3 linked regions of the Caenorhabditis elegans genome follow. The protein of the gene in region 2 interacts with the protein of the main gene of each other region in a biochemical or structural test. Each region holds a gene or a part of one and is shown on either strand. Other genes may lie near its edges. The genes, in order: dlg-1, gst-22 and dsh-1.

The links.
Region 1: the proteins of gst-22 (region 2) and dlg-1 form a complex in vitro, tested with the Caenorhabditis elegans proteins (one study listed by BioGRID).
Region 3: the proteins of gst-22 (region 2) and dsh-1 form a complex in vitro, tested with the Caenorhabditis elegans proteins (one study listed by BioGRID).

What each region holds. Positions count from the first base shown.
Region 1 is NC_003284.9:5,478,167-5,490,279, reverse strand, and holds dlg-1 (Disks large homolog 1), read right to left. Parts: upstream 10,581-12,113; 5' UTR 10,520-10,580; coding exon 10,498-10,519; intron 10,289-10,497; exon of another isoform or gene 10,178-10,288; intron 10,062-10,177; exon of another isoform or gene 9,784-10,061; intron 9,616-9,783; coding exon 9,299-9,615; intron 9,223-9,298; coding exon 9,004-9,222; intron 8,957-9,003; coding exon 8,860-8,956; intron 8,813-8,859; coding exon 8,722-8,812; intron 8,669-8,721; coding exon 8,317-8,668; intron 8,261-8,316; coding exon 7,954-8,260; intron 7,896-7,953; coding exon 7,427-7,895; intron 7,369-7,426; coding exon 6,845-7,368; intron 6,762-6,844; coding exon 6,479-6,761; intron 6,432-6,478; coding exon 6,310-6,431; intron 6,255-6,309; coding exon 6,154-6,254; 3' UTR 5,339-6,153; downstream 1-5,338. Other genes in the region: F55D1.1 (uncharacterized protein), read right to left, coding at 167-442; C25F6.1 (Condensin-2 complex subunit H2), read right to left, coding at 2,588-2,851, 2,903-3,032, 3,627-3,784. UniProt on the Caenorhabditis elegans protein: Essential multidomain scaffolding protein required for normal development. Recruits channels, receptors and signaling molecules to discrete plasma membrane domains in polarized cells. Required for proper embryonic elongation.
Region 2 is NC_003283.11:16,225,694-16,233,791, forward strand, and holds gst-22 (glutathione transferase), read right to left. Parts: upstream 6,590-8,098; 5' UTR 6,579-6,589; coding exon 6,419-6,578; intron 5,892-6,418; coding exon 5,395-5,891; 3' UTR 5,339-5,394; downstream 1-5,338. Other genes in the region: F11A5.13 (uncharacterized protein), read right to left, coding at 386-617, 670-913, 967-988; F21H7.2 (Calpain catalytic domain-containing protein), read right to left, coding at 1,461-1,578, 1,626-1,747, 1,796-1,874, 1,925-2,173, 2,221-2,323, 2,469-2,631, 2,678-2,734, 2,782-2,913 and 4 more; F21H7.12 (uncharacterized protein), read left to right, coding at 4,515-4,870, 5,095-5,305; F21H7.3 (Serpentine Receptor, class E (Epsilon)), read right to left, coding at 7,002-7,215, 7,264-7,562.
Region 3 is NC_003280.10:5,212,057-5,224,738, forward strand, and holds dsh-1 (DiSHevelled related), read right to left. Parts: upstream 8,619-12,682; coding exon 7,100-8,618; intron 6,986-7,099; coding exon 6,910-6,985; intron 6,612-6,909; exon of another isoform or gene 6,408-6,611; intron 5,599-6,407; coding exon 5,477-5,598; intron 5,430-5,476; coding exon 5,189-5,429; intron 5,135-5,188; coding exon 4,959-5,134; intron 4,521-4,958; coding exon 4,284-4,520; intron 4,236-4,283; coding exon 4,068-4,235; intron 3,776-4,067; coding exon 3,609-3,775; coding exon of another isoform or gene 3,567-3,608; exon of another isoform or gene 3,064-3,566; intron 2,989-3,063; coding exon 2,876-2,988; intron 2,594-2,875; coding exon 2,467-2,593; downstream 1-2,466. Other genes in the region: C34F11.2 (DUF4440 domain-containing protein), read left to right, coding at 237-420, 473-681; C34F11.1 (RING-type domain-containing protein), read left to right, coding at 938-1,002, 1,090-1,206, 1,250-1,342, 1,388-1,648, 1,697-1,841.

The sequences.
Region 1 (12,113 bases), on a different chromosome or scaffold from region 2:
ACGATTTATGAGGCGTAGTGAAATGTATAACCATGCAATGTTCAAAGTGCATTTTGTCTTAAAATGTAGTGTTTAGTCAAATAGGGAAGAATATATGAATAACGTACAAAAAATGTTTCAGGTAGAATTGATTACAAATCGCAAAAAAACCCCAGACCGGCCATTTTTAGTCATAGTTTTTTTCAGTCACGGACTGTAGAACCATCGAAACTGCCATCGAATTTTTTAATGAAAAATCAAAATTGGAAGGTAATAAAATATTTGATTTGAAAATGTAACGGTTTCCTGTCGAAAATTCAACGTGAACTGCCGTAGTTGCCATTTTTGACACCTTTTTGGCAATCTGGCAGTCTGGCACATTCAGGCACGATTTAAGGCCCTTATTAAATCTTTCAACAAAAGTAACATACAATGGCAATGCTGCGAAATTTTCAATAGGCATATGGCAATCAACTGACAAGGAAATTATTTCAACTTCAGTTTAGGTTTTTGAAAAAAATCTATGTTATAGGATTATTCAAGTAACGTCGCGAAATGTATTCATATACATTTTATGACATCACAAATTGTATTGAAATACATGTTTTGACGTCATAAAAGATATTTCAATACATTTCGCAACATTACACGGCATCACTTGAACCACCCAATCATTTTAAATAGGACTCTTTTATTTGATCTCTACACAAAATTCAGCGGCAGATGAGAATTTTCAACTGGGAAAAAAATCGATCTGAAAATTTTCTGAAAATCTCAACATGAAAATGAAATTGTGAGGTGCATTTCAAAGCGGTTCAAAAAAAAAGAAGTTTGTTTTCCAAGTAAGCTAAATTTCTTAATTTGAAAATTTCGAAATCTAAATTTATCAAAAAATGACTGTGAAAATGAGTCTTTAACAAAACTGGTCGTGAAGCTATGTCGATTTTGGTAAACACACTTATCTTTGAGTTCAAAAAAATTCAATTTCATAATTTAAAACATTTCCGATCTTATGTTCTCAAAGTGCACTTCTCCGCATTTGTCGTACTCGTCAGTCCCATTCAATTTCACTAATTTTCTCCCCGCCGCCGCAGTTTTCCTTTCATTTACCTCTCCGTGCAAACCTTCCCCGACCTCCGTGCACTTTTGTCAGAGAGTGAGACCGTGGCTATCTGGAAAAATCTAAAACCTAACATCCGAGGCGGCGCGCATGAGGTGAAAGTGCAGGTAGAATGAAAAACGAGGACGCTATAAGAGTCAAGTGAAAGCGACAGCGCCTTTGGAGCACGATAAGCATCAAGGCACGGTCATCGATGACTTCTCTGGGCGATCCTGAAGAATCGTAGGTTATCGGTCTTTCTTCTTTTCCCGACAGGTAGCAGCGGAGGAAGACACTCATTAACCAAACCGTGATTTCACTTTTCAAATTAACATCGTTAAGTTTTTTTTCAACAAGAGCTACCTGAAAAAAAAAAGATTTCGCATCCTCGCATATAAACAAAAAGGAAGTCAGTTTACACTCATACTTGTCACCTCATGCGTAATTTATTTTTTGTAATTTTTGATCTGAATTTTCAATATTTTCAGAAAATAGTTTCCCAGTCAAAAAACTCTCAGTTTAAAGGTGGAGGAGCGCCAGTGGAAATTTTTTTTCTAAATACACTTTTTTCTAAATACACTGATAACAATCCAAACCGGCCAAATATCATAATAAAACACTCTTTTTTCAGTCAAAATTTTGGCATGATGGCAACTTTTTGAAATAAATGAGCTTTTAAAGAAATCCAGAGTAATTTCATGTTCCGGCCCCTAGAATATTTAAACACAAACAATCAAAGAAATTTGAAGTATAAAAATTATTGAAAAAAAAATTTTTTGGTCGACTTCCAAAATTATGAGTTGCCAAAACTGAGTAATTGTTATTTTTTGACAGTAAATAATAATTTTTTAAAATTTACTTTAAAGTTTTACTGATATGTTTGGTCATTTGGCATCATAGTAGTTTCAAACACTTTTCCCACTAGCGCTACTCCATCATTAAAAAGTCTTATAAATTTTAATTTTTCACATTTTACATAAGTTAGGAGAGTAGAGTTAGTAAATATTTTGTTTAAATAGACTAAAAACTCACAGATGATACTGTGCCTTTAATCAATTACAATGCCTTGCCATTTCAAACATATTTCAGGAATTTCTGTAACAATTTCTGGAAAAGTTCATTATTCAAATTGATAAATAGATACACATATTTATGCACAGAAGAGTGCAATGCACAGAGGAATGGCGGATTTGCAAGTTGCAAAGATAACCAGTTTGTGGAAACGGTCACAAAATGAAAATTTGGGGAAAAAACCAAGCACATGCACCAGACTTGGAATGGAATCTGGACATAAATTCCAAAAGTTCAAGATGACTAGGAATTTTGATGCGAGTAATGCACGGGACAAGAAAAAAGTATAAAAAGTGAATGATTGTGAAAGAATGGTTATGTTCAGATTTTACAACAAAAAAAAACGAAAATGATAATTTCTGGAATTCTTGTTCATAACAAGTTGATGGGGTATAGTTTTAGACACCTATTTGTGAATTGTTAATTTTCGTTACAAAATCAAGAAGGATTCCTTCGTTTTCCAGCTGTTGGACTAGGTGCCTGCTTGTGCAAAGTAGAAATGCTTCCTGAGCCACCTTCCTCCATATTCCATACCATATTGACAAGCGCTTCGATTTTAAAGTCTCGCAACAATTCCGATGGTTTATTTTTGTGATCTTTTGATTTTCGAGGATCATTGATGTTCATGTTCAAAAGACAGTATCCAAGCCATTCAATTGGATTGTTGGGCTTGATTTTCAGATTGACCAGTTTCTCGAGTATCTGAAAATCGAAAAATGATATGGTATTTTATTTATGATATTTTAACCATACATATTCAACATCTTTTTGAATATTGTCCTCGAGATACTGAATCGGTGGTTTACAAGTTGAGTCTTCCCAGGCTGTGCGGCATTCTGACATCATGTCTGTTGAAAATGCCAAAGTCACTTTCAATCGCTTTCTGAAAATATAAAGTTTGTTTTAGTGTAAGTAGGCAAGTTCCAATACAAAATGGTTTAGAAAAAATTTCTGGGAAAACACCTCTTTTTTCGTTTTTCAACTAAAGAATGTAAACTTGGTCAAAAAATGACAGTTAAAATTTTCTTTTTCAAAGTTTTCAAATAAAATTTAAAATTTCTGTCTAGCCTTGGTGAAATAATACAATGAACGTTTTCTGGTTAAAACTGCTCTTATCCCACTAATTTTTTGATGGGAGCCATTTAAAGCTTGTTCAAGAAGCCTTTTTTAGAATTTTGGTTTAAAAAACTTTAACTGAACACATTGTGAAGCCTAAAAATGTTTGAAGTATTATTATAACATCCTTTTGGATATAACATTTCCAAAGTTTTTTTTATTTAAAAACATTTTTGTTTTTTCCCTGCAACCGCATATAAATTTTTGTTCAAATATTTTTAACAGAGTGAAAATTTAATATCACATTTTTGGACCACAATTTTGGACATACTTCCACATACTGGTTATTTTGGAATTAGAAAATTTCTTGAACGTTCAGAACAATTATTATTAAAGGATTATGAGCTAAATAAAACATTACGTCAAATCATCCTCTTCTTCGTCACTTCCTTCCGACTCTGTGGCGGAATGTGCGAGCACGTCATCATCGTGAACCAGTGGAGGATAAACCGGTCGTTTTGGCATGTATTGATTAAATGCTTGCACTAGTTCCTCTTGTGTCATTTTCATTTTTGCCATGGTTGATCTGGGAAATTTGTTTTTGAAGGTATTTACGAATTCAAAGAAGATATACACAACTACTATATTATTTTGAGATATTCATTATTCATTTTAACTTTTTATTAAACATTATTTTCACTAAGAAATTCAGTTAGTAAACCAGTAAACAAACATTACAATAGAATAAAATTAACTGTCTCATTTTCCAAAAAAAAAAAAACGAATAATAAAAAATAAAGAACCGTCATACAAGTTGGGAATGCAAACAAATTTGTGAGAAACTAGTTAAGAATATCCGATAAACTTTAATACGTTCATAAAGCACGCACGTTCACACGGAAAAGACGTCAACCATCCTATTGACGCGTTTTGTGCGCGCACACGAAAAATTGCATGAAAGGGGGTCACTGACATGACCTAGCTCAATTATTTTACCCTTTATTTTATCTCAATGGTACTATGGTAGAACTGAAATCTTTTAAAGTTATTTAAACCGTAAGCGATATCATACTATTGTTACAGAAAAATTAAAGCGTGAACATAAAAACAATGAAACACATTTAATGAGGCAGAAAAGAGTAAAACAAGTAACTTTGCTATGTAAAAATAAATTAAAAATGAGAAAATGAGGAACTATTCTACAATTATAAACATTCATAAATTTAAAATCAAGATATCAATAAAATAAAAAAGATTGCTCCCGGTGAGGCTCGAACTCACGACCTTCAGATTATGAGACTGACGCGCTGCCTACTGCGCTACGGAAGCACTGAACAACGTCTGCAAAGTAGGATCAAAAGAATAAAAAAATGTTCTTAAATTCGAGCCAGTCTGTGTTTCAAATTAACAAAATGTGAGATAAAATAAATTGCTAGCTTTGACTCAAATTAAAAAATGAATTTAAACAGTTAAATTAAAAATTAAATTAAAATTACAGTTTTCTTCATGGCAACTTATGCTACTTGGGAAAACTTCAAAAAAAAAATTGCTCCCGGTGAGGCTCGAACTCACGACCTTCAGATTATGAGACTGACGCGCTGCCTACTGCGCTACGGAAGCACGTTGTGAACTCTTCACAAAGGACTTGAGAAAGGATGCAAAAACTGAGATCCCAAGTGGGACAGGGATTTGAAAATATCACAACTGTAAATAGTCTAGTTGAAAAATCTCAAATTTAACTCATAGTCAGTAATTAAAATATTATTGATATTTTAAAATCATTCTAATCTTATTTTGCGTTTAAAATACATGTTTTTTTCGTTAATTGAAAGACTAATAAAATATCAGGAACAATATTTCAGTCGAAGAAATATATTAGGCAAAAAAGATTGCTCCCGGTGAGGCTCGAACTCACGACCTTCAGATTATGAGACTGACGCGCTGCCTACTGCGCTACGGAAGCACATTTCGAAACGGATTCTGAAGAGTACTTCAAATCCTTTTGTTTCGGAATTTTTCCAGCGATCTAATAAAATGAATATTTTTAATGACAAATTGCCGCAGTCATTTTCAGAACACCCTGATATACTGAAAATAAAGTTTTTTCTTGTTACTTCAACACATGTATGTTTTGCAGATGCAATAAAATCTTTATTCAAGATAATTTGTATAAAAAGTTTTTAAAAATAATTAAAAAAAAAAAGTTTGGAACCAATGGATGAAAATAAAATGCTCTCAGAGTAATAAAAGTCCCAAAAAATAGAAATGAGCCGAAGTTTTTCATCAGTAGAGAGTCGGGAATATGATAATGATTTGCGGTTAGTAGAGACAAATGAAGCGTTGAGAATATCACAAACTGTCACAATTTCAAGTAAGAAGTGAATTGAGTTGGGGGAGGAAGGAGAGGGAAGAAGGAAGGAAAGCTGGGGCGGATTATAAAATGCAAGTATTTGTAAGGTGAATTTCAAGATAAAATGGGCTGTAGAGAAAACAGGCAGTACAAACTATCGTAGTAAAATATTCGGAGACAAAAGTAGAAACGATTCACCGTTTTCTGGCAGTGATTGTGGAGAGTTATGATTGAAAATGAAAATAATGAGCAAGGTAAAAGAAAAAAAGAATCAGAAAACTATTGAAATATTGGCCTTTCACGTTTCTGAGTTCGAGTAGTAGAGTTTCTTGAATTGAGAACTTGGAAAGGTCATGTAAATTAATGCATAATAGGGAAGGGGTACTAAACAAAATACAAATAAAGATGGGGATGGAAACAGGATAAAGCAAATGACATCAAGAGTTTTTTCAAAGGATCACTTTTCTCAGATTAAAAAAAAGTATCACAACACGGCGTAGTCTAATTATTAAGGTAAATTAAACTGTATATTAATTAATTTCAAGAAGACATATTTCTTGAAGAAACGATTATTTGTCTAAAAAATATCCAATTTCATCTAATGACGTGGCACCCAAATTGGCGTCTGCGATTCACGGCTGATGATGGAGTACACTTTGCTCAAAACGTCATTCGCGCTGTGCACATTTGAGATTTCTTCTGAAATAAATAAAAAATCAGATATTTGATAATAATGGTTGGAAAAAAGACATACGCGTGAACAAATCCCCGAAAGTTTGCTCAATTCTATGACATCTGGAATACTGCGCTTGAGCTTCTTCGCCACTCATCGCTCGATCGTCTTGTCGGTTGGTGGCAAGTTGGCTGTCCAATTCACTGAAATTTTGCAGATTGATAAAGCTTCTTTTTACAATTTAACTTACAGAATCTGTTGTGCAGAGCTGGGCTTGATGAAGATCGAGATTGGTTGAATATTGGCATTGCTTTGAAGTCGTCGGATAGCATTTCCACTGACGTCCAGAATACAGTGTCTTCCTTGGTTGGCGACATCTCGGACGCTTTGAATGCTAGTTCCGTAGAGATTGTTTTGGAATTGTCCCGCTTCAATGAAGAGATTATTCTTGACATCTTCCTCCATATTGTGCTTGTTGACAAAGTAGTAGTCACGTCCGTTAACCTCTCCCTCGCGTGGTGGTCGGGAAGTGTCTGAAAAGGGTATTATGAGTATATTGCACATACTATTTAGAAATGTTCTCTTTTTTAAAGTAGTTAATAACTTCACAACTTACGTGGAACGCAGCTACTGAATTTCGAAGGGTCGCGGTTGACAAGTTCATCGTTGATTCGGTCTTTGAGAGCTCCAAGAATGATCACTGGACGAACGTAGTTGATCGCCTGTTGCTCAACTGCCTGGTAGGACCACACTGGCTCTTCAGCTACATTTGAGGATTCCTCATTAAGATCGTTGAGCCGGTCGGTACTTTTGACGAATGGGAACTTTCTGGAGAAGGAAAGCTGACTGCGGCTTCCTCTTCGGTTTTCCAATCCAGTAGTGCTCGAGTTTCTTCCAAGAGACTGCGATCCCGAGTTGAAGTTGACTTGCTTCCGACGAAGTCGTTCTCTCTTCTCGACACGTTTCTTTGATGGAATCACTCCTTCAGCTGTTTCTTCTCCGTTTTCGTGAACTTTTCTAGCTGTCCACCATTCATCGTCAGATGAGTTGATGATATGTAGGATGTCACCATAGTTAAATCCCATTGATCTATGGGGAGCAACAGAGTTTTCACGTGATGGATCATAATCGAAAAGTGCTCTGAAAGATGTTATTCGTTGATATATGTATACATTTATAAGTAAACAAATCTTCTTACCTAACATATTCAGACTTTCTGCTCAAAGTTCCCATTCTAGATTGAGCAATCACGTCGTTTCTCAGCTTCTCAATTTTGGACTCAAAAATTTGATACTCTTGTGGTCTGTACTGAAGAGTGAGATAAACGGGATTTCCAGCGTTTCTCAATGCTTCAGCTGCTTCCTTATGGGTTGCATTTCTCAAAACAACTCCGTTCACTTCAAGAAGAACGTCTCCAGTCTTCACGTTTCCACTAAGATCAGCAACACCTCCTGGGAGAACAAAACTGATGTAGATGGGCTCATTGTCTTCTCCGCCAACAATGTTGAATCCAAGTCCATTTTGGCCCTTTACAAGTTGTACTGGACGGGGTTCGAGTGGAATTGCGATGGGGGCTTGTGAACTGTAGCTGGTGTTCAGTGGTCCTCCGTAAGACAAATGACTTTGAGATCCCATTTGAGAGCGGTTGTAGTCTTGAACGGAGCTAGCTGAAATGAAATTAATTAGAAACTATATTATTATTTTTGATTCTTGGGATTGTCTTACGTCTGAGAATTGGGGTAGTTGGCATGAATTGTTGGCTCGCCGAGTCATTGAAAATTGCCCCAGTTCCTTGCTGAATAAGAAGTCGAACACGATTTCCAGTGTTTTTGAGAACATTGACCGCATTTTCATGAGTCGTGTTAATCAAAGAGTGATGATCAACTTCAAGAATCTTATCTCCGACTCTTAATCTTCCGTCTAATTCAGCTGCTCCCTCCTCAATGATTTTCGTCACATAGATATCGGTATCTCCTTTAACGTGCTCGTTTCCTTGACCACCAGCAATAGAGAAACCAAGTCCACGTGCTCCCTAAAAAAAGTTCACATAGATTCTTTTGTACTTTGGAAAGAGAAAATGTCGCCAACCTTAACCAGATCAATGACGGATGTATTCGGTCGTGTGGAACGATATTGGCCAACAGATAATTGGCTCAATGATCCGTGATGAACTGGTGGTGGCGGTGGTGGATGAATCGGAGCCGATGGAGAATGAATTGCGTGTTGCAAGTTGCCGGCGCTCACTGATGGAGTGACTCCTGATCTGAGGTAAGAAGTCGACCCGCCAAAGTTTCCTCCAATTGGAAGAAAGGCTTCATCTTTACGCCGTTTCAAACTCAACGAAACAACGTTTCCGGAGCTTTTCAATGCGTTGACTGCAACCTCATGCTTCACATTTTCACAGTTTGTATTGTTGACTGCAGTGATAATATCATTCTTTCTAAAAAAAACATGACCATAAAGTTCTGTTCATCTTAAATTGCGGTTTTTTACCTCATACGCCCATCAGCAAGTGCGGCACCTCCTTCAATAATATTGGTGACATAGATAGAAGTATCTCCGTCTTCTGTTGGTTGGTCCATACCTATAATCAGATATGTTACATCATAAATACCGGTTGAACGCGCATACCTCCAGTAATCGAGAATCCAAGGCCGGTGTGACCTTTCTCCAAGACAATATTCTCAAGCTCCCATTTACGACCATGATCATCGATAACTCCAGTATGCTGAATATATGATAATTAAAACTAATATTGAGCCAAAATTATCTTACTTCAACCACACGTCTTTCAAGACCACTTGGAGTGTCAACTGTTCTTGTGGTTGTTTCCCGCCATGTTCCATCATGACTGGTCTGACGTTGACGCTCATGAAGGTAGTGAGTGCTGGATGAGTTGTACGGAGAAGACAGAAGTCCGTTTCCAAGTCCATTCCCAAGCCCGTTTCCAAGGCCTCCGCCGTTCAAATACGAGAAACCTCCCCGATCTCTCAGCTAAAATAATTTTTTTTATAAAGTATTAAAAAAATCTAGAATCCAAATCCAGAGAAAAAAAGAAAGCAGAGCTTACATCTGAAATAAGTGGAGTTGTGCTTGAAAGGTTGTAGTTCGACGTGGAAGTCGTCGCAGCCGGACGACTGTTGTAGGAGTGTGGTCCACCTTCGAGTCGCTCAATCACACGCCTTACTTCCATATTTTTCTCTGCATCTGATTTTCGCTCGCTGAGCAGCGTCTGCTCGTACAGATCGTGAATGTCGAGCAACGAATGCATCAGGTTTGATTTGAATGTGGTGATAACTCGTTCCAGGTTTGTGCGTAGCTCCTCATTGCCGTGTCTTGTCAGTGTCTGGCAGTAGTCCTCCACATTTTCTATCGCTTTATGCGCTTCTGAAAATACAGTTTCATGTTCAGTTATAATTGTTGTAGGATTATGCACATCCCAAGTCGCAAAGTGTAACAAGTCTAGGTTGATGACTCATTTTGCGGCAAAACATGGTCAACAAAAAAGGTTATCATGCGCTTTCTTTCCCATCCCGGCAAATAACGATGAGTCACCCTGCGAGGATGCGCAATCTCCCTCGTTTTCCCTCCTTTCTCCCCTTTCCCTTCGGAATGTACAAGACTGGCCCCGGAAAGATGTCTCCGATGAATAAAGGGGAGACTCCTGGTTGGACTGTCGGACACGTACACACACCATCACAAACAGATTGTTTTCTCTTTGCCCTCTTTCTTTTTGCCTTCTATTCCTCCCACTGCGTCTTCTTCGCCTTCTTATACAAATATAATGTTTGCACATTCAGAGACGCATCCTCACCATCATGCGCGCCAGAAAGCATTCACCTGGCGGGGAGGAGGAGGAGGCTCCGAGTAGTGTGAACTTTTCGAAAACGTATATAGCAAAATTATTACGTATATGTGTATGTGTATCGAAATGTGTAAGTGTCAACACCACAATACCTCATGAGGCGGGGTGGCCGTATTTGGCAGTTTCGAGGTGATAAGAAGACTGTTGAGATGCGATCATCGCATTGAAGTCATAAGAAGGCAGGGAAAGGGGGAGCGTAGAAAACGCAAGAATGTACATAAGTTGGTGTGTTGCCTTGGCTAATTCTGGTCATTGTGACATTGAGTTTAACGACCACGGCGACCGTAGGAAATGGGTTCGGTGATAATTGGTTAGGAGAAAACTGTGGCAAACAATTGAGATTAGTGGACATTGAACGTTTTGCAAAATAGAAACAGTTTGAAACTTAAATGTCTAGAACTCACTTTCCGATGACTCGTGGGACATGCTTCCTTCCTTCGGTGAGGCGTTCTTCCCACTCCGATCGGTTTTCTTTCGATGCTGGTCGCTGAAAATTGAAAAAATTAAATTGATCAACAAGTTTTTGAGACTGAAAATAGAAATAGACGACTGGTTTTAATGCTTCTAATAATCTAAAAACAGAGCTCGGTAAGAAGGAGGCATTGAAGACGAAAAGGAAAAACTGTGCGGCGATAAGACATAACTTATCAGAAAGAAACAAGAATTTACGGCAAACACACGCACACACACACACACATACACACAAGCAGGCCGCCATTGAGTTTGTTTTAGCGAACTTGATGTAAATAATAGAAACAAGATGCAGAGCAAAACGAGCAGGGGAAGGAGTAAATGAAATTTTTTGAAAAATCTAGGAAGATTCATAAATCATAATCCATCGTGGATAGAAAAATAGAAGGATATCCCGTACATAGAAGATGGAAGACGCTAGGTTTCGCATTTCACTTGTGTCGAGTCATGGATATGTTTATTTTTTGTTCGGCAATTCCCACCAACTATTGGTATGATTCAGTAGGTTGGATGAGGGGGAAAAATATAAATATTCCTCTCGTCTTCCTCCGGGCGGGTCGCATCTTACTCTAGATTAGTATCTACCAGAAGGGAAGACTGTGTGTGAGAGATCTGATAGATATGCTTGAGTAGAAGAAGAGGTAAAAAAGAAGGGCGTTTGGGTATAAACGGTGGGGGTCTTCAACGTTTATTGGACACCAACCACCTCCGCCGGTGGTTTTATTATAGACGCGAGGCGACAAACCGCACCATCGGAGAGGGACCTGGTAGGAGGAGCGGGGAGTCGATTGTTTTGAAAGGTTGTCATCTAATTCAAAAATTAGTAAACTATTATTAGGTATTTTTATCTTTGGATATTTTGTAAAATTCTGAATTTAAATAAAGGAGATTAAGTTCGGAGGGTTTTGGCTCCCTGGAAGGTTTCATAATGAGTCCTGAAAAATAAATCCAAAAATTTTGGATTAAGTTTATTTAAATTAACATATTCCTACAATTTGTCTTTATCACAGATGCCAAAAATATATACAAGCCAGAAATTTTAAATTGTTACCACCCCATCACGTCTCTTTAAGTTAAATAGTTAAAATTATCTTCGCTCTAAAATGTATGTTTCATTAGAACACTAACAATTTTATCTAAACAAAATGGGGGTTTTATTAGAAAATAATGCCATAAAATTGTATAGTTTGAAATTAATGGTCACAGACACGTCTGCAAATTTGAGTTCACAAAAAATATATTTCAATAGCCACTTGATTTCCAAAGAACTGAACAAAAAACAGGAACAAGTCGACTTGAAACAAATCACAGTGTCGAAACATAAATGGTCAAGATGAGAAGTGGAACAGACCCGGCCAGCATAGAAAAAACAACACTAACTTATGCGTCACGCTGTGTGTGTGTGTGTGTGTGTGTGTGAAATTATATTCAACATGTACAAGCCAACGGGACATTAGTCACGACATGCGGGAAGAAGATAGCGAACGTCGTCTATTGTACCAAAAACATGCCGGGAACAAATGCGCCAAAAAAGTTGTGGCGAGGCGAA
Region 2 (8,098 bases):
CTCGGGGACTGGGCCGAGCCCGGCAGCAGTGCAACGCCAGTACGACCCGCGGAAAGTCGGAGCAAGCCCCGAGTCTTTCCTAGGATCCAAAAATCATATAACCTTTATTACACTCATTCGAGTGTATACCGTAGGTTAATACGATAAGAACAGATACTACACTTTGATCTTAGCTAATAAGCCGAAGAAGCGATACTGAATGGATGAGGCGGCAGGGCTAGTCGGGAGCTGTGTACCGACAAATCAGGGGCGCGCGTGTGTCACTATGAAATGACAGAGGTGTGGGGAGAAGGTGGAGGCGCAGACAGAGACTGGTTGCCAGGCGTACATGAATTTATAAAACAAAAAATGAAATTTAAAAAAAAACAATTACAAAACAAAAAATTCAAACTTGAGCATCTGGGAAGTCTTCTGGCACCTCTTGAATTACATCCAACTCCAAATACATTTTAATTCGTGCCAGGCAGACTTTAACCAAACATTTTGTAAAAATACAAATGTACACACTTATGATTACTAGGCTTAATGCAAAACCGAATTTAAATATTTCCGGAACATTTGGAAGATCACCTTTTGCATTCAATACAATCAACTTGGCCGTCACTAAACAAATTGTGCTGAAAAAGTTAAAAATAATATTTAAAAAATTTGCGGAAGCTTAAAACTTACAAAGAAACTAATCCAACTCTCATTACAGCTCCAAAAGCTAGCAGCACCAGTGATCTCTGATCTTTATCCATTTCCAGTTTCCAAAAAATAACCTGATCGGATATTGTAAGGCAGGCTAGAATAATCATCCAGTATGGCACAAAAGTCTTATCAAATTCGTCCTTGTCCAAAATATTAATGAAACCGAGAATTATTAAAAGTAGAGAGGCAATAAGCAAAATAATCGATGATATAAAGCGATTAACTGAAAATTATAGAATTTTAAAATAGGTAATCAAAATTGAGAAATAAACTTACTACGATGGCACCAAGAACTCATTTTCTAAAAGTCAATGCAATATAATACAAGGTTACCAATTTAGGTAGTTTAAATCCTATTCTTATCAATTTACTATTCCTCATGTTTGAAATGACTCATCAATTGCAATTGCTTGATCGGAAGTCATGTCAATTGCCAGATTCACTTTTTTCTTCATGAAAAGTGTTAAAAACTTTGTAGTAGTGTTTCCATGCAGGCGCCAAAACGACTGCCGTGCCTGCCTTGCTGCGACCTCCACCTGCCTCGCAAGAACCATTAGGTGTCAGAACCTGAAACCGCACCTGTCTTTCGTGAAAGTCTTTATTCACTTTGTAGTTGAAGTTTCACAAAATATAGATTGTCAACACAGCTGACAAAAAGCCAAGTTTCGTTAAGTCTTTTTTTAATGCTTAATTCCTAAAAGGCGCCATGTAATGTCTTGCATAATTATTCAAAATCTGATTTTCCAAAACTTCAAAACCTTCATTCTACATCATTCAACGGTAGCAGAGCTATTACTTGGCGACGACTTCTTCTTTTTCATTTTCTGACCTTTCGGTGTGGGTTGGAAAGTCACAGTTGTGACTTTTTGAGCCTCTGATTGAACTCTCCTGAAAATAATTTTTGTAAGTTTATTAATGGCTAAAAGAATGCAAACCTTTTGTAAACAGTAGTCGTTGTCGGAAGCTTGAAAGACACAGGTTTGGTAGATTTCGGGTCTGGTCGGTCCTTAGCATCAGTTGGGAGTGGGTTTAAGTTGTATAACGTGTTGGTCCAGATCTTCAAAAAGCATTTGGTAGTTTTTTGGAAACTTTAAAAAAAACTTACTCTTTTATAATCCGAAAAGAACTCTTTATCTTTGGCACAAATTGCCTGCAAATCTTCAGAATACGGATTCAAATCTTCTCTGGAAAGTAAATACACCTGAGTTTCATTTAAAAATGTACAAAAACTAACGGCGCATCAGTCTGTCTTTCCAAAAACTTAAGTTTTCCACTGGTACATAGATCAACCGCGTCCTTTACGGTGATAACTTTGGCCGGTGGTGGCTTTCCATTATTACTCATCCAAAACGGGCGGCCTCCCGGAAACAGTTTCTCCGGATGACTTTTATCATCTTTGTTGGTGGGCATTGTTTTTGGCGCATAGTCACATGGGAGGCCGTAAACAGCTGTTATTTCAGGCTTGATGTTGGCTTGCTCCGGTCTGAAAATCTTGTTTTTTTTTTCATTGAAATCCCAATTCTGTCTTACGCAATAATAGAATCATCTCCGTTAAGGGTACTTGATTCGATGTTCGGATTCTTTCCCACATATTTCTGTTTCGCTTTCGAGATCCATGATTTCAGGAGTCCTTCTGAAAATTTATTTTTATGTCCTAATACTAGACACTTAGGTAGGCAGATAGGCATGCCGTGACAAGAAGGCAGGCAGGCGTGCAGAGAGCGCCTGCCGGCAGTAGCTACCAACAGCATGCAAGTACAAAATACTAAAGATCATACCCGTTGCATCTTTGCTAGGTGCCTTGTTCTTATCCTTAGCTGGAGGAGGCTGTGGTAGAGTTGTAGCAATGTTTTGAAGAGGCACGTAGTTCTTTCCAGTAGGAACTTGAGGGGTTGTAGCCACTGGAGTAGCGTTTTCAGGTTTGGCGGCTGCACTTCTTCTCTGGAAACAAAGAGCTATCTGATGAAAATTCAATTCGAAGACTCACCACACTTCCTTGTTGCCGTTTCTGCCTGTTGCTCTGTCCAGTTTTGGTTTTCTGGCGCTGGAAATTTGATGAAAACTCTAAAAATTTCAGCTTTATGTACTTACAGCACTTCCCCTGTCAGTTTTCTGTAGTTTTTCCTTTTTGACTTTTGACGGTCCTTTTGCATCTTTTGCCTTGTTATCGTCCTTTTCCAGTGTTTTGATCCTTTCCTTCTTTTCCTTCTTCTTGTTCTTTTTCTTTAAAAAAAGCTATATTAATAAATATTGTTCATCACGTCATTAACCTTGTCATCGTCATCATCTTCCACGAATTGCCCGACCGCATTGTTTGGGTCATCCTTCTTATCCTCGTCATCACTGATGAAAACAGCCACAGCGGTTCCAGTGTCCTTTTTTGCCGGTTTCTTTGCCTTTTTCTTTTTCTTTTGTTGCTGCAAATGTAAATAAATAGATTATAGGTATTTCGGCAAGTCAAAGGTTTCTGAAACTAACCTGATCAGCCTTATCTGCATCATTCGATGGAACCTCTTGTAGCTGACTTCCTCCACCCTCTTGTTGCTGACCAGCCTCCACGACAACTGCTTCACCCTGGAAATTAATTGTTTCAGTATCATCGTGAACAGAGTTTTTGCTCGGGTCTGTTTACTAGAGTTTTCATAGCAGGTAGGCCTGTGAAACCTGCTAAATCAGACCGCTTCAAGCTGACTTTATCCTCAATTGAGCAGTCTGACGGGACTTCAAAAGCTTGTTGTTAGCACCATATAGTGTTATAGGTGATTCTTCCGAAACGGCAGATTCGGGTTCCGCGCTGCACTATACAGGCGAGGCAGCAGGCGTTTCGGCGCCTACTATCGCGACTGCTTGAAAGTAAGTTTATAAAATTACTAACCGGAGCTTCATTAATCTCCGTCTCCAAAGTCTTGGAAACTACCGGTGCTTCAACTATTGCAGACTGTGCGGCCGGAACCTGCTCCACAGGTGTCTGTGGTGTATGTGCAAGTTCAGCTGGAACGGCGGATTCCTCAGTTTTCGGAAACTTTGGCTTCAATTCAATTGGAAGCGGAGCGGCCACGTTCTTCGGGGGTCCAGCTCCACGACGCACCGGTGCACATTTCTCTTCGACAAAACTGAAAACTTATAGTCTTGCGCGGGATCTATGGATGAAAACAAAACTCACTCATTGTTTCCTCTGTTGTTCATTGTGCTTCACTGTTTACCAGTTTACACTGAAATTTCCGAGAAGTTTGATGAAAAACGGGAAATTGCGCAATACCTCTTATAATAACAATTATCGATTGATTTGTAGAAAATTGTGAAATAATTGTAAAACTGATGTGGGGGGAGAAGGGATGGTGAAGGGTAAAAAAGTGTATTGGATTATGGGAACAGTTCACGCTTTTAAAAATAATCTTTCGTAGTCTTTGTATTTCAATGAGGGGGGGGATCACGTAGGAATAATTTTGTTTGGAAATTTGCTCTTCTAATAAGTTCATTTTTTCTTTGTTGATAAAACCATATTTTTATTATAACTACAAGTTTGGATTAAAGTTCATAAAATTATTAAAAAAAGGCATAGTTAATTAAATCAACACTTTCATCTAGACATTTTCGTAAAAAATTTTAGTGTTACGGTCTATGATTCAGTTTCAAATGAAATGTAGAGTAGCGAGTAGTTAAAAGAAAAGAAAATCAAAACAAAACAGAAATGATGATGTGATAAGATCACAAGAAAACGATAATAAGGCAAATAACACAAAATTGATTTAAACTTGTTTTTTTTTTCGTTGCTATCACCTGTTTACGTACCTATGTCTCTCAATTTTTGTTAATTTCAGAATATGATTGAGCCAAATGAACATGTTTCCAAAAAAAGTGCAGTTTGTTTTCTCACTGCATCAATTATAATCTCCGCTATTATCCCATTATTTTTTATAATTATTGGAACATTTAACATATTCTCTTGTTCTTCACCAATACTCCCTCTGTGGCTGATCGGAATTGCTATTTTGATAATTATCGAGAGAGTGGTATCTTGGAGGATTTTGATAAGCGAAACTCAATTTGAAAATGAAAATCCCATTCCGAAAACTGACGACTTGAAGCAGATAAAGTCCTGGGAGAAGAGTCGAATGGAAAATACTTCGAAGTGGTTGATTCTCGGGAAGAATAACTTGAGAATTTTGATGTTTGTTGGGTAAGTTTTTGAAGCATTCAGGAACAAACTTGTGTGCCTGCCTACTCGCCTACTTAGCGCCTAAAAACATGTGATATTTTATGGTTTCGTACATTTACATTTCGCAGCGCCCGACAATATTCGGGTTCGACGCCGTACAATTTTCAAAGCGCAGTTTCAATTTGCTAAGAGCAGGCGATAGGCAGGCAAATAGGCGAGCCAAATTCTTTTGTTTTTTTTTTCAGAATAATCTGCGGCACCCTCGAAAGTTACGACAGACTCATACATTCCGACTATCAATGCAGCATAATTGTTCCAATTTCTGTTTTTGTTTTTAGCATTGTTACTTGCATTGTTTACCTATTCTCAATTGTTGGGTCAATTTATATTTGGTGTGTCTCTGGCTTGACTAAGCTTGACCGCTGGACAAAATCATCACTACATCAGGTTTTGTAAAGTGAAACGCAAATAAATATACAGAACGCAAATAAATTTTTAAAACTATTTTATTGCATCATTATTTTTTCTTTCACAAAAAAAACAATTCACACAAGCGTCACTGGTCTTGTCTCGATGTAATCTTTCAACTCGGTAAGATTAAATATTTTCTCCTGGAATTTTCTCAAAGTTAAATGAATTGGATCTTCTGGATCAAGTTCCTTGAGATTCGTCAGAGTATACAAATGATCAGCCACCACCAGATCTGCCCAAGTCAATCCATCTCCAACAAGGAAACCCGATTTGTTCTCTTTAAGAATTCGAGTCAATATTTTGAACATTAAGTTTTTTGCTGGAATGTAAACTTTGTCATGAATTTGCTTCACTTCTTCCATTGTTTTTCCAGTTTTCACGGCATCACGGTAGGGATGGAGTGACGCGTAGTACTCATTAAACTGATCAACGATAGAATCAGCAAAAGCCTCGTCTTCCGGTGTTTTTCCAGCGTAGCCAAACTTTCTAGCCAGATAACGATGAATTGCAGAAGATTGAGCAAGATCAAAACCGTCGATGGAAAGAACTGTGAATCGGCCAAATGGGGTCTCTGAAAACAATGTAATTTTTTGATTGTCTGGTTAGCAAAATTCTTTCAGCTAAAATTGTCAAATTGTCAAAAGTTATTTTTAAATTTCAAAAAGTTTCTTGAGTTTCCTGGAAGCTTCTTGAAGTCATCAAAAATTGTCTGAAGGTTCCAAAAATTTCCTCAAATTTCCAAATGTTTTTATTCCAGAATTACCATGACATCTCCTTGAAATCAAAAATTGCATGACTATCCAGAAGTTTTCAGAAAGTGTCAAGAAGTCTCATGAAATTTCAAAAATTTCTAGGAGTTTCTTGAAAACTCCATAAATATCCAGATGATTCTAAAATTATTTTAAGTTTTCAAGAAGTTTCCCGAAATGTTCAGAAAAATCGAGAAAATCACAAAAATTTATCGGTTTTTCCACAACTTTCCAAACCTTTCCTAGCAAAACTTTTTTCTGATTGAATATGAATTTTCCGCCGAAAAGTGGAAGGGCTCATGTTTCTTTAAAGGTGGACTATGCTCAGTGGGCTATTAGTTTGACTCACTGTCTTTCAACGCTGAAAATTCGTCACTTTGAAATCCCGGAACAGCATTGATCGTCGGCAGTCGAACATCCTCATATGGTACCCCACCAAGATGGAATAACATTCGTGCTGACTCTCCAAACCCACAAGCATCAAAGTAAGTCAGTTTGTAAGAGGGCATATTTTATTTGTGAAGTTAGTTGAATCAATAAAGAATTTATACCTTTACCAACCTTTATCGATGACTCTTATCGCGATTGCAACTTTTCCCCTTATCGCAAAAAACTGCAGAGACAGTTCAAAATGTGGAGGTATTATGTGAATATTAAGAAATCATTGCATGATTCATACCTCTATTAAATGAAATCATGATTTTATTATATTTTATTGGTTTACATATGAAGACTGTACTAATGGGTGATACTGTCTGTACGATCTTCAGAAATTTTTTTATGGATTTTTAGCAGAAAACGAGAGCTGTGATTGAACAAAAAAAACTATTCCTTTTGTTTTTGTTAAAAATTAAGTGTTATTTTTAATTGCTTGTAAAAACAATGTCATGTCGGCAAAACAGATGCATTTTCAAATTATACAATATGTTAAATTATAGAATATAACTATACAACCACATTGTAACTTTTCTATCAAACTTTGCTTTACAATTCATGCAAAATATATAAATAGTCCCTATCAAGGAGACTATATAAGTTATGGAAGCAATAATACAAAATCCGGAAACCGAGAAAAGAACAGAAGATTTGCATAAATAAATCGGTCGGCCGAGTTGTTCATAGCTCCAAATAGCTCCAAGGGCAACCCTGAAACTTTTCTAGTTTTTAGACATTTGTAAATTTGAAATCAATTACGCTATTAACATGACTCCTTCCAACGCATATTTTATTGATATCCACCAAAAATTTTCGAACCAGTTTTTCTTTCTTCCATCTTGCGGAACATCCTCCATGAGTTTCTTCACTTTATTGAATAGAATTTTCCAATAAATAATTCTATCAATAATAATTAAAATACCAACAAAAATAAGCCATAATGGAAGAAGCGGGTTCTCACATTTTCCTTGGTTTTTAAAGCCGATTGATAGGAACCATATTGGAATAATAAGGAAGAATAAGTTCAAAATTACCAAGTAACAAATATGGTGTGTCATGGTCGAAGAGAAAAGTTGAAAATAGGTTGAATTAGTTGTGTCAAATTGTTATCAAATAGAGTGGTATCAATCACTTCCTCAGTCCCTGTGTTCGCGGAACTTTTGAATGAGTGAGAAAGAGAGAGAGAGAAAAGAAGAGAAACCAAATTTTAGTCACAGATTACACTAAAGTAAGAGATGAATAATGTATGTTAAGTGTACTGGCATTGACCTACGGGATTAAACTATCAGGATTTGTAACTTATTCTAACCCATGTCAATGTTCTGAGACTTACATATCTGCCCGCGCTTTCTTCATTTCGAGTCACCAACATCCTATATACCGTGAGAAATACATTCAATATAGTTCAAATGTGAATACAACACTCCAAGAGTTAACATTTTGTTTTAAAGTATTAACTGTTTTACCTTTCTCCTTCGGCACAAAAATCCTGTGAAATCTGGAGACAGCTCAGAAGAACATCGACATAGAAAAAGGCTCTAAGACCCCCGCTCTAGTGAAAGTAGATGGCTTGAGTTCAAGAGACCTAATGGTT
Region 3 (12,682 bases), on a different chromosome or scaffold from region 2:
ACAACATTTAAAACTGACGAGCCCGGTATATCAAAAACGCTAATAGTAAGCTCTCGCGACACAAATTTCGTCATATTAGCAACAACATTTCTATCAAAAATTAATGTATTTGACACGTTGTTGAAACGTGTACTAGTAGTAAATTTATTCATTTTCCCTTTATTATTTTTTTTTAATTTGACGCGACCCCACCAAATTTCAATATTCTCAATCATTGCGAAGTTTGCGTAGCTAACATGCTCGTTCTCCGCCTCTTCAACACACAAAAAGCTCGACTGAGTCAACTTCCCAAGGCTTCAAACGAAATTGTCAAGGATTTTATTTCGAAATTGGCGAATGCAGCTGGATCCCGCGACAAACTTTCTGACTGCTTCACGCATGATTTTCAGTTTTTCGGATGCGGTTATACTGTTAATAAAGGTACGTGTTTTTCGACCCTGGAATATCTGAAAGTTAATATGCATACTTTCAGCCCCGTTTGTCGAAAAACATTTGGCCACTCCGAATCCCGAGCCGTTGATTCCGAAATGCTCGAGTTTCAATGGAAATGATTCAAAAATCAGCTTCACAGCTTCACATCAAGACGGACCTCGAGAGAATATTGTGGATCTCGTTATTTCGCGTGAGGAGAAGGACAGTCCATGGAGACTTCAATCGGGAAAAATTACAAATTGCCCTTGATCTTCAATAAATGTTGTCGAATGGCCTAAAATCAATAAAATACTGGCTTCGTTTTCCGTGTTCGTTCTCATTTCTCTCGAGGGAAAATTGCTAGAATTTTTTAAACAATAAATGAATAATGAAAGTAAAAGAACAAATTATCAATATAATTTCCACGGGCTTTTCTTTGAAAAAACAAAAGTAAGAGAAAAAGCAAAATGACTTCCAAGTTTCTTTATTTCATTCATTCCTAATTTTTATCAGTCAACTTGCAAAGATGTCGACAAACTTGAATATAGAAGTCAGTATCAATTTAACTGAAATCGATGTGAACGCTCAATTGTAAGTTTTTTGTTTCAATCAAATCGCCTAAATCTCAGAACTTGTTCATTTGAAGAAAGTATTCAAAATTTAATTCAATTTTTACAGAGCTGAGTTTGCTCGTTTCCAACAAGTTCGCGATGACTCGCGGTACGCACAGGACGTTGAACGTGAGTTCGTGTTGGGGCCCATTCGACACCACCGACGGCAGCTGGAGCCATCAAGGTACACGTTTGATTCGAAAGATGAATATGATGTTTGGTTTCAGATCTGCTCCGTTGGCTTCCACAGAGCAGCCAGTAGCTCAGGCTACCACACATCCGTCAACCGAGAATGCACGGGTACCAGCTCTAGTTCTAAGGTTATCTTAATTACGCCTTAAAATATAAAAAACACAACATTTTAGATCAGGCTCATGGCGAGCTCTTCCAGTGGCACAAGGCGGTTCCTCACATATTCGTATCTGGCCGGTGTCACGGAGTGCTACAACAACTTCGACGGCAACTCGTCATCCACCATTCACCAATACTTCGGCATCAACTTCATTTGCACCATATCAACGTCACCGAGGAAGTGCTCTACAAACTTCGGAATGCACCATTTGCTTTGAGAAGCCCGTTGATCCGAGAGGATGTCCTAAATGCCTCAAAGTCATTGGCTGTAAAAAGTGAGTTAATATGAGATATTGAAGATGTTATAATTAGGCAGTTTCCAGATGTGTGAAAAAATGGTTTGATACGTCTGCATCGAAGGCGTGCCCACTATGTCGATTTGAATGGAAACTGCACAGAGACAACCCAGATGTTGTCAAAATTTCAACTCTTGAAGTTCTGAAAAGGCAGAAGCAAAACCGTCCATAGACTTATGTCATGAATACAATAAATTATTGTTACTGAAGTTTTTTTTTAATTGTACAGGATTATAATTTTACGCGTAGCCTTCCATGGGGTTTAGTAAGACTTGTCGCAAATACGGACAGAATGAACCTCTCCTATTCTCGACTAACTTCTGTTTAGAATATAAAAGGACTATATCACCGGCTTATGGCACTCGACTCACTCCACCGAGCGGCGACACGTCTTAAGGAACCACCCTGCAAGCAACTCCAACATGGCCAAACGTCTACAACAACAAAGGAAACCCTTTCACACAGGAACTCTAGGATCAAAAGGATGCAATTGAACTGCCAATAACACCGTGGAACAACCTTTGCTACCTTTACGTGAAAAGTCATATCCGATGTCTATATAAGGAGGAAATTGTGGAAGAAACATCAGTTTTGAATTTACTCAAGTGAACTCCATTTGCTAATGATAATATATAAATAAAGTATTGTTAATAAATGAAGTTTATAAATAAGCATTCCACTGAACCGCCTTCGCGACAAGAATTAAGAAGGCGGCGGATAAGCAAAAATCTTGAATAAATAACAGTTTTTATACAGCTCAAAAAGTAAGCACCAAAACATTGAATTAATATTAACAGTTAATACTCGTATCTTTGTCCAGTTGCCATAAGAAATGAATTATTTGATTCTTCATAGATTGTAGAACTATCATCAAATGGAACATTTGCAGACGATGATGGTTTTCTGGGAAGAACAACAACTCGTCTGAAATATTTTAAAATTATATTGGGAGTTATTTCGAAAAACTATGTCAAAAATGTTAGAGTCTACCGTGTTATATAAAATTGGAACTTTTGAAGTCAGAGAAATTCAGACGAAAGTTTTTAAATTTCCAGTGCCTCACACTTTTCACTTTTTTCCAACTTAAGAAACAAGTTCTTTTGGTGTGGTTTTGAATTTTATTTTTTTCTTGAAAATGTTTAAAAAAGCTATATATCTTTACAAAATACAAAAATTTCTTTGTATGTTTATAGTGGAAAAACTCACTGTTTTCTAATTCCACCGCCACTACTTCCACTGGTTGTACTTCCTTCTCTTCTCTGTTGCTGCAATTGAGCTGGTGGGAATGGTGAAGCCGGCATTGATGCATATCCACTTACCTGTTTATATATTTTTCAAATAATATATTTCTCACTTTGCAATGTTCGTGTGGTGTGAAATATAACAACATTCTTTTGATTCAGAATATTATTTATTATTCTGTCATTCTTGTGGGTGGCAACATTGGACTGATACATTTACATGCTACTGAGAAATGAGGGGGCGAGAAAATAACAATGATATCGAATATAAACAATAATTTTAGGGCAAATGCAATAGAAAACAAGACGTTTTTTTTCTTAGTATAGGGTGCATCTATTTCAGACAAGGATGTGGGGAACTCGTGAAGAAGATCGCAATTCGTGTGAATTTGAGAAGGAAATGCAACAAAAAATCGACGGACAGATTCAAAAATAGAATAATCAAATAAAGGAAAAACATCCAAAATTACAATCACCGGGAACATATGAAATTTTGATTCATGATTGGAGACTTAGAAGTTACAAAATATTAAATTAGAACTTATTGTAATACCGGGTACATGGTGTACTGTGAGAGAAACTATTTTGAATTATGCCATTTTGGCATTGATTACCAGACATAATGAAACATAAACATGAAGAAAAATGATGACATTCTAAATGTGCATTACATACATGCGCGATTCGCCGTCGCTTACCATTGACGGAGCCATCCCTTTAAAAGCTCCAGGAGGGCCAGCCATACCTCCAGGTAAATGTGGGGGTGGGAGCATCACAGAGCTTCCGTTGCCAGCAGACATTCCGTTCATTCCGATGGTCCATTGGTATTTGGGTCCACCATCTTCATTTCGGAATCGGGCATAGTCTGGAAGTAATTTAGAAGATATAACAAGAAGGGTTGAATTTCATGTTTTGAATCAGGCAGGGCAGCCTTGAATGCAACCAACTTTTTTGCATTCCTATGGAGATTACAGGCAGACATTTTTGTGCATCAGTGAAAAATTTGTTTTAAAAATATAATTTGAAAAAAATAATTTTTTAAAACAAATTTTTAACATTTCAGTTCAAAAAAATTGCATTAAAGATTTCAAAAGACCCACTTCCATCTTCATATACAAAAACTTTGACATTTTCCGAATAAATGTATACTTTCCTACCTGAACACTCATCTCCAAGGACATAATAGCACTGCTCAGTGAATGTGACCTTGTTCACCACATGTGCAATATACTTTAATTTCAGTAAATCCGCCGCAAAGTTTCGTGCTGTCTTCCGTTCTCGAAGCCCTTCAACATGATCCAAAAGCCATTCGACCAGATCAGATCCTAAAATTGAGAATTAGAATAGGCTCTACACGTTCATTCAAAACTTACCCAAGAACGACATGGGAATCGGAATTTTGAGCCATGTTCGATTTTTGATATCAAGACCAGAGCCAGGCATAGCCATTATTTCGACAACCTTCTTTTTGTCAGTGTGTATATCAAGAATAATATGAGCTCCGCCGCCGACTACTGTATTTTGACCATTTGATCCGTTTGAGGTCACCGTTGAGCTGCTTGGCGGTCGACCATGAGGCCATTCACCAGGAATTGGTGTCGGTGCACTTTCTGGAAAAAATTTTTTAATTAATAGATATTTGTAGGAGAATAACGTAGAAGAAGAACAAAAAACAACATCGAGGCTGTCTTCCTGCCTGCCTACCTGTTTTCAAAATTTTGGTGCAGAAAAAAGGTTTGACTTAATTTTACATTCAGCCTTCAAAATTAGAGATGTGAAAAATTTCATATTTTTATTTTTGTTTCAAAAAAAAATTGAAAATTCCAAAAAGCTTTCCAAATGTTGTTCTACTTTAAAATATCCTAAAACATCAGAAGTCTGAAAAACATCAACTTGAAAGTAGCGAAGAAATGCACTGAATAAATTTCAGCCTGAAGTTGAATAGGTTGAGAGTGCAGCTTATAATTTTGCAAAAAATAAAAAGATCAATCAAATAACAGGCAGGTATTTTGTTTAGTTTTTCTACACTTCCAATCAAAAAACCATACCTTCAACTATACTTGGCATTCCTCTCATTGCATTCGTATGCTGGATCCATGCTTGAGTATCGATTGGTCTCACAGGCTCTTCTCTGCTATTCCTTGGTATTGTGAAACAACTTTGCCCATTTTCAAAACTTTTCGCCACAGTTAATTTGATGGGGCCACGACGGCTAACAGCTTCTCTGAAAATTCATATGTTGAAGAATAAGCTCTCAGTAAAAAATAATAATTTTTACCGTAACACATCAACAGCTTGATCGTTAGTGAAATTCTCAAAGCTGGTCTCATTGACTTGTAAAATCATATCACCAGCTTCAATTCTTCCATCCAATGCCACTGCACCTCCCTTCATGATATTTGCTACGTAGATTCCATTATCACCACAATTAGAAGTTTGACCAACAATTGAAATGCCAAGGAAATTGACTGTATCCATATTGAGGTTCACTGTTATTACATCAAGGCTCATAGAGGACTCTGGAATTCGAATGGTAAAAGTTATGCTAATTTCGAAGAGGTCATACCTGTGATACTTGAAAACGAAGATGCTCTAGAGGGTTTTCGGAAATTTCTTTTATTCTTCTTTTTCTTTGCCATTTTTTCATGTTGTCGGGATACTGATGTGAAATCGGTTGTTGTAGAGCCTCTGAAAAATTGAACGTTTTATAGTTGAAATTGTTATAGATTTTTCAGAATTTTCAGTCCAACTTTTGAAAATTGAGTCTTATTGAGAAACTTAAAGAAGCTTTGCATATTCGATGCCCCACAAAATAAATACAAATGATTTTAAAATTTAAAAAAAAACTGTAGAAATTTTTTAAAATCGAATTATTAATTTATGATAAGCGAAAACTGGTTAATTTCCATTTTGGACTGTAAATAAAAATTTCATAATTTTTTGAAAATCTTACTGTGGTTTTCAGTGATTTTTGCAACTCGTGAGTAACTTTGAACGTTATCAACTAAAATTTTACATGGTTTTCACTAGCTAAAAAAGGAAAACTAATGAGAATTGTGTTCCGTGAAATTCTAAATATAAGCGGAGCACTGCACAAAACAAAATGTTCAAATTCCTTAAAGTTACAACCTAGAAGTTTGTTCCACAAAATCCGAAAAGAACTGAAAGATTTATCGAAAGCAATTATCCACTTCTCATCCATCTCTTTCCACCCGTTCTCACGTCCTTTTCTTCCCCTCCCCAATTTTTATTAGTTTCCTTCAAATAGTGCACAACACTAAGAGCTTGTTGTGATAGTCACTACCAGGCTTTAGCTAGAAGATAAGCGCCAAGCAGGAATTGCTCAAATTTAACGAGCTGTGTCTTATCGCAGAATAAATGAACTGACACGTCGCGAGTTGTGGCACCCGTGCTGCTCGGCGGAGCTGTTCCAATTGCATAGTAATAATCAGAAGTTGAAGTGGAAGTTGTTGAATAATAGGCTTTACCATCAGAGCTTGCGAAATCATCGTCAGTTATGTAGCCGCTCATTTCACTATTTGAGGAGCGGAAGGGCGAAATCATTGGGGGCAGAGTGAGCGGGGATGAAGGCCCGCTTTAAGCCTAGTCATTTGTCACTTTATGTGACAGACAGAGAAGACACAAAAAAAGGTATTAACTATTTGAGAGGCAAAATGAAAACCATCGAATTTTTGAAAATATTTAAAATTTAAAATTTCAAAGGGGTATTGCCTATTCGTAAACTTGGTTTTGTTTTTATGAGTTGTTATATTTTGAATGTAAATTTTTTTCAATGTTGCATATTCCTTGAGATAGCCCTGCAAGACCTGAATGTAGCCCTATTATAACTTAAACTTTTGCTTTAATTTTTTATAAATAAAAATTTGCCGAATAAAATACACTAAATTTTGAAAGGAACACTGTCACCAGAGTACTGGCTTTACATAAAAATTCAATGAAATGAAACCTATGTTTATAAAATTAAAAAAAAAAACATACCTATCATCATCATCTGAAAATACTCTTGCATCGGATTCGGAGCCAATTGTTGATTCTTCGAGATGTCGTCGGTGCCCTGGAATTTAAGAAAACTTAGAATTCGATGCTTTTTCAAATTTTCATAAGATTTTGTTTTTTGAACCTATTACCCTTTACTTGATCACATCATTTTTCGCCATCATTTACCTACCGATCAAATAAAACGATGCATCTGCACTAAGTTCAGAGGTTAAGGATAGATGTGACGTCCTATGTAGAAATCCAATAAGATGTCTTCTCGGCGAAGCATCCGGTGCAACATCTTTCCTTCCTTGATAAGTACTTGTTGTATTTGATCCGCCGTACCTTCGCATTCTGCGCTTCTGTGCTCGATCCGCTCTCTCCTCTTCCACCATTGCCGCTGTACTTGCTGTTTCTTCCTCATAAAGTGGCGGAAGCGATGGACTAGTTGGAATCAGTGACATTGTACGGCTCATTGTGCTTCTTCGTGAAACAAGAGGTCGGCAATCAGATGATAGACCACTTCCATCTACAGTGACCGGCCGACACCTATCGATTCGGTTCAAACTTCGACTTTCAGATATAGTAATACTAGGAATAATAGGTGGACGATCGGTGGTTATTTGACACGTTTTGGATTTTCTGAGCTCCCTAGATGGCGGAGCAAGTGAAACAGGGGAATCAGGAGCCGCAAGGGAAAAAGTTGGTCTGGCTAATGCTGCAGCTGGTGCAATGAGATCCGGTGGTGGTGGCTGAGGTGGGCTCAGATTCTCTTTGAATTCTTTAGTATTAGATCGAGAACTTGATGGTGATGGAGATGCAGACCGAGATTTTGAACCACCAAGTGAAGTTAAAGACGTTAAACTTGCAGCCGAGTGGGACAATCTGATAAGAGCTCCAAAAAACGATGAAGAGGCGGAACCACCACCGGACTCTTTTCCGTTGGCGCCTCCTGCACTTTTTTCGCTTTGTTTCCGTCGTTGTAAAAATCTGCGCTTCGTTGTCGTCTTAGTATTATCCCCCTCTTCGTCGTTACAATCATCTGATGCTTTGCTGGTGCCGGGAAACAGGAGAGCCCCCTCGCTGAGCCGTTTTTTAAGTGGACCACCGAGCGCATTTGAGACCATCTGTCGCCATGTGGATCCGGCAGGTGTATGATTATTTGTGAGATCAGTTAAAGTCCGTTTTAATCGAAATGGTGCCTCAGACTCCGGCTCCACACGACTTTTACTTCTGCTCTTCTTCAACTTTTTCCCCGTACTTGGTTGCTGCTGGCTTCCTGAATTTTCCTTATCATCAGAAGCTTTGGAGGAAGGGAGAATGTTGTTCAGAATTTTCAAATTTCCTAATGGATTTCCTGTATATTTCTTCCTTCTTGGACTTTTTACAACTTCCGAGACGATAGTTTTCTCATCATCAACCAAATCAAGATCATCAATCTTAGCAAGTGGTGGAGCCTTTTTCTTCTTTTTTGGTCTTGACGATGTATTTGTAGGTGACGTTTTCAACTCAATCTTGTTAATCAATTGTGATACAACTCCCGGCGAGTGTTGTCGATTTGGTGGAGGAGCCGTGTATGTCGAACGGACTTTTCGTTCTTTTGAAGTGAATAATAATGAGCGAATCATATCAGATGAAGTGGATGGGGTATTTGAGGAGCCAGAAGGAGATGGAAGGGCTCTATCTCGAGCTCCAAGCTTGATACTCATTGCTCGCTAGTGAGCTATGAGCAATCGTGTCGTTCTCTAGAAAATCGGTTTTAAGTTTTTGATAGTAATAGAGCTGGGAAGTAATAAAAAAGCTTGAAGGTAATAAAAAGAAGAGAAAGAAACGAGAAACACACCTCGATGGGGGGTCATAAATTTCCCAGCATCCCATCTTGTGGCTCATGATGCACTTGGATTAGAAACAGATACTTTCGTTTTACTTTTATCATGTGCTGGGAATTTAGAGAGAAACTGAGAATTTAATAGTCGACACATCGGGAAAGTTGGTACTCAAAATAATCCTGTTGACACCATAAACACTGTCGTTAAACTTTAATCGGACTTGACATATGTCATGTTAAATCTCAATTGACTCGACTATGATAGTGACATCTAAAATTGATAAATTCCTATATAATGAGAAATGCAAAGATTGAGATATTATAATTTTAATATAATATAATTGGTCTATGAGTTTGTTAAGATTCAAGCCATAACAGTAGAAAAATTTAAAAAAAACTCAAGTTTTTATACGCTTAAATCTCGATGTTATTTTGAAAGACAAATGTTTGCTTTCATTTAACTTTTATTTAATTAATCGTTAACATTCACTGATACATCTAATAAAATTAAAATTATAGTTCAATACGTTTCGGTCGAAACTATGTGGCTATCAATTAATAAGATTTTCCCCGTTTCGCAAAAGAGCTTCAGAATAAGTGTTACCATTTCTCAACTAACAAATTTCTTCAACTGGTGGGCTGGAAAATGGCACATGACAACTAAAACCAAGAGCTCACTATCAGTTATTTATATCAACAAATTGCAACTTGACTTATGGCTCACAGTCAAACACCGCAGAGATCCAGAGGAAAACACAATTTGCTATGGTCAGATTAAATGGCAGTTGCTTAAAGAATATTGATCGAAAATTTTTCATCATGACTAGTTGAACAAAGAGTTGCAAATTGATCTCACTGAAACATGTTGCAATGGCTCTTGATGATGACGAAGTATAAAATCAAATGTTTGAATCCACCTACACACATGGGCTAGCAAACATTGATCGGAGGCAGGAAAAGCGGATAAAGCATAGAAAAGATCATTATCAAACTGTCTTTTCTCCCCAAAATCCCGATAGGTATCATGATAGAAATCACAAGTGAGGGATATCCGAAAGTAAATAAAACCACAGATCTCACTATTATAAGGCAGATATCTATTTTCGTGTTAACGAGAATGAGAGCAATATTATGAGATCCTGGGGTGGGTACTAGAGACTATTTCGACACAAAAACGATAATAGTGACAAGTAGAAACATACACAGAAATCGACAAGTGAGCGGACAAAAAAAACTAACTAAAAGTGGGGTGAAGTGGTATGAGGTCTCGAGAAGAGTGTTCAAGTGGAGAGAGAGACAGAAGGAAAGCATCTTGATAAACACTGTGATAAACTCATCGGTCTTCGGGTTTTCATTCCCACTGACGTCGAGCACAGAGATATAGAGAACGGTTTCTCACAAAAAGTGGTGGAGCAAGCAAGGAGCCCGGTTGACCCCCTAACAGAGAAGTTCAAGGACTAATGTTACAAAAGATCGAGAATTGGATGTCAAAGAACATATTTTTCCAATTAACAATGCTTACAAATTCTACCGTACACTACAGTTCTTAAGGTCGCAAAGAGATATTTTTGGTATCTGGTTAATAATTTTTTATTCTCTAATGTCGAAGCTAAACTAAACTAGCTGTGACTTGTTCGCAATTTACCATTTTCAGATGTCATTGTCAGATATTTCAGAACAAAAATTTTTGAAATAAAACAGCTGGGTAGCCTTTCAATGCAACTAGATATCCTGAAAATAATAATCTATTTGTTTCAAAAGTAACAAAATACTTTTTTTTTAATTTTCAACAAAAGAGAGTTTGGATGAATTTCTAATTTGGAGGAAAATTAAAACAGATTATAAAATACGAATTTTATAGAATTTGAGAATATGCTCCTCAGATTAAATTTTCAGAAAAACACAATGAACTAAAATACTTTGAAAAGAAGTTGTACACAAAAGGGAGAATTTCAATTGATTTATACACCCAGCTACCAGGTAATAACCACAATTATGTGATTTTAATTCCACGTAATCACACTGGGGAAATCATCGATATGTATGTGTGTGTGTGTGATTAAATTGAAATGAAATGAAATGTATGTATAAACATTGAATGAAAGCAAAGAAGGAGGAGATCTCCACTCATTGAAATGTGTGTTGGTTGGTTGACTGGCAGCCAGCCAACAAGATGAGCCCAGAAGATAGAATTGAAACAATTGGTCCTTTCTCTGTGCTCTCTCATTTCTTTATGATCTATGAGAAGTGATCTGGGAGATCGGCTCATTAACACCAACATAAAACATGAAAATCAACGGAAGGACATGATGGGGTGAAAGTGTTGAAATGATGTGATCAAGATTTTATGAGGGGAAGTTTTATTGGGTTCACTGACACAATGTAAAAGTTTGCGAGAACTTTCTTAAGAACTTTTTGAGACGAGGTTTTTCTTCCAATTTTTTCTGAAACACTTGGGACCAAGTTCATCGTGTTTCCCGTTTCTCAATTACCCCAAAAGCTAATGTTTGTTTTTTTACCATACAAAGCCTTGAGCCATCTAAGCATTCACAAAAATGCTCACTAGCCTTGACAACTGGCTATACGTGTAATTAGGCACTTTTGTGATTGCATGAGAGGCCCACAGATTATTGTGCAGAACTATTTAAAGTGTTTTTTTTTTGAAATCGAGTATATACCCGTTTTCCAAAAAACAAAAAAGAAACTAACCCAAATAATGTTGTGGAAACCGTCGATTATAGGCAGCACTCTTCAAGTATCCAGGAATTGCTGCCGAGATCATTGATTCCGAATCGGTGCTCATCACTGAAATTCAGGTTGCGTTGAATGTATCAACAATAGTTATAGTTCTTTGAAAAAGAAACAAAATAGACCCAGAAACTGGATCACGGGGACCATAGGGAGGGAAATAAAATGAGAATTAAACAGACATCTGGAGGTTTATGACTTGAGGGTATGAAGACAATTTTACTAGATGAATTGAATTTTTAATTTCTTTTGTCATTGGGGGTTCCGCTAAAGTTTTCCGCTAAATTTTTTCTACTGGGCCCCAAAGAAATTCCTAGATTATTTGGAGCCAATTAATTCCGATACAGTTCTTATTTCCTAGAGAGTTGCCAAGTCCGAATTTCATATATTTTCTGACATAATTTTTTGAAATTAAAAAAAAATCAAATTTCTGGCAAGCCAAAGATTTTCATGTTGGATTTTTCTGGGCGCCGATCAAACTTGACTTGCCAGTTTTTTTTTAAATTTTTCTATGATTTATTATCATTTTTTATAAATAATTTTATCGAATATTTTCTGAGCTTCTCTCTAACATTTTTCGATTGAAAAAACTCACTGGAATTATCAAATTGATAAGCAGCATGTTGATAATTCATAGGTGGTCCATTTCGATTTGAAGGCGCCGGTCCAGGTACTGAAGGATATTTTCGCATCTTCCCACTACTTCCATCCGAATGAGTTGATCCTTCAATTGTCAAAAGAAAGAGCTCAAAAAGGTTATTTGGTGAGGGAGTGAGCCTTTGTGAGTCGTCACGAATTTCGGCTTTTACTTCGCTGAAATTTTTAATTTAAAATGTTTTTTTTTTCATAATTTAAAATAGAACTTACTATCCAGAATCGGGGTCCAATGCTTTTCTATAATATTTGAAATTTGTTCTCATCAATACTCGTTTCAAGTCTCCTAAAGTGATAAGATCAGGTGGTACATGAACCTCTAACATGTATGGATCCGTTTCATCGTCGATATGGCAATATACCTGAAAATTTTCGAAAATTGTATAATGAACGTAGAATTTAATTAATTGCTGTTTTGAAAAAATTTAAGTTTGCTAGAATGATCTATTTTCTGATTTAGATAAAACTCCTATTATAATCAGGTACAAAAAATTACTAGTTTGTAAGATTTTAATAAGGCAAAGATCCAGACAACATTGCTAA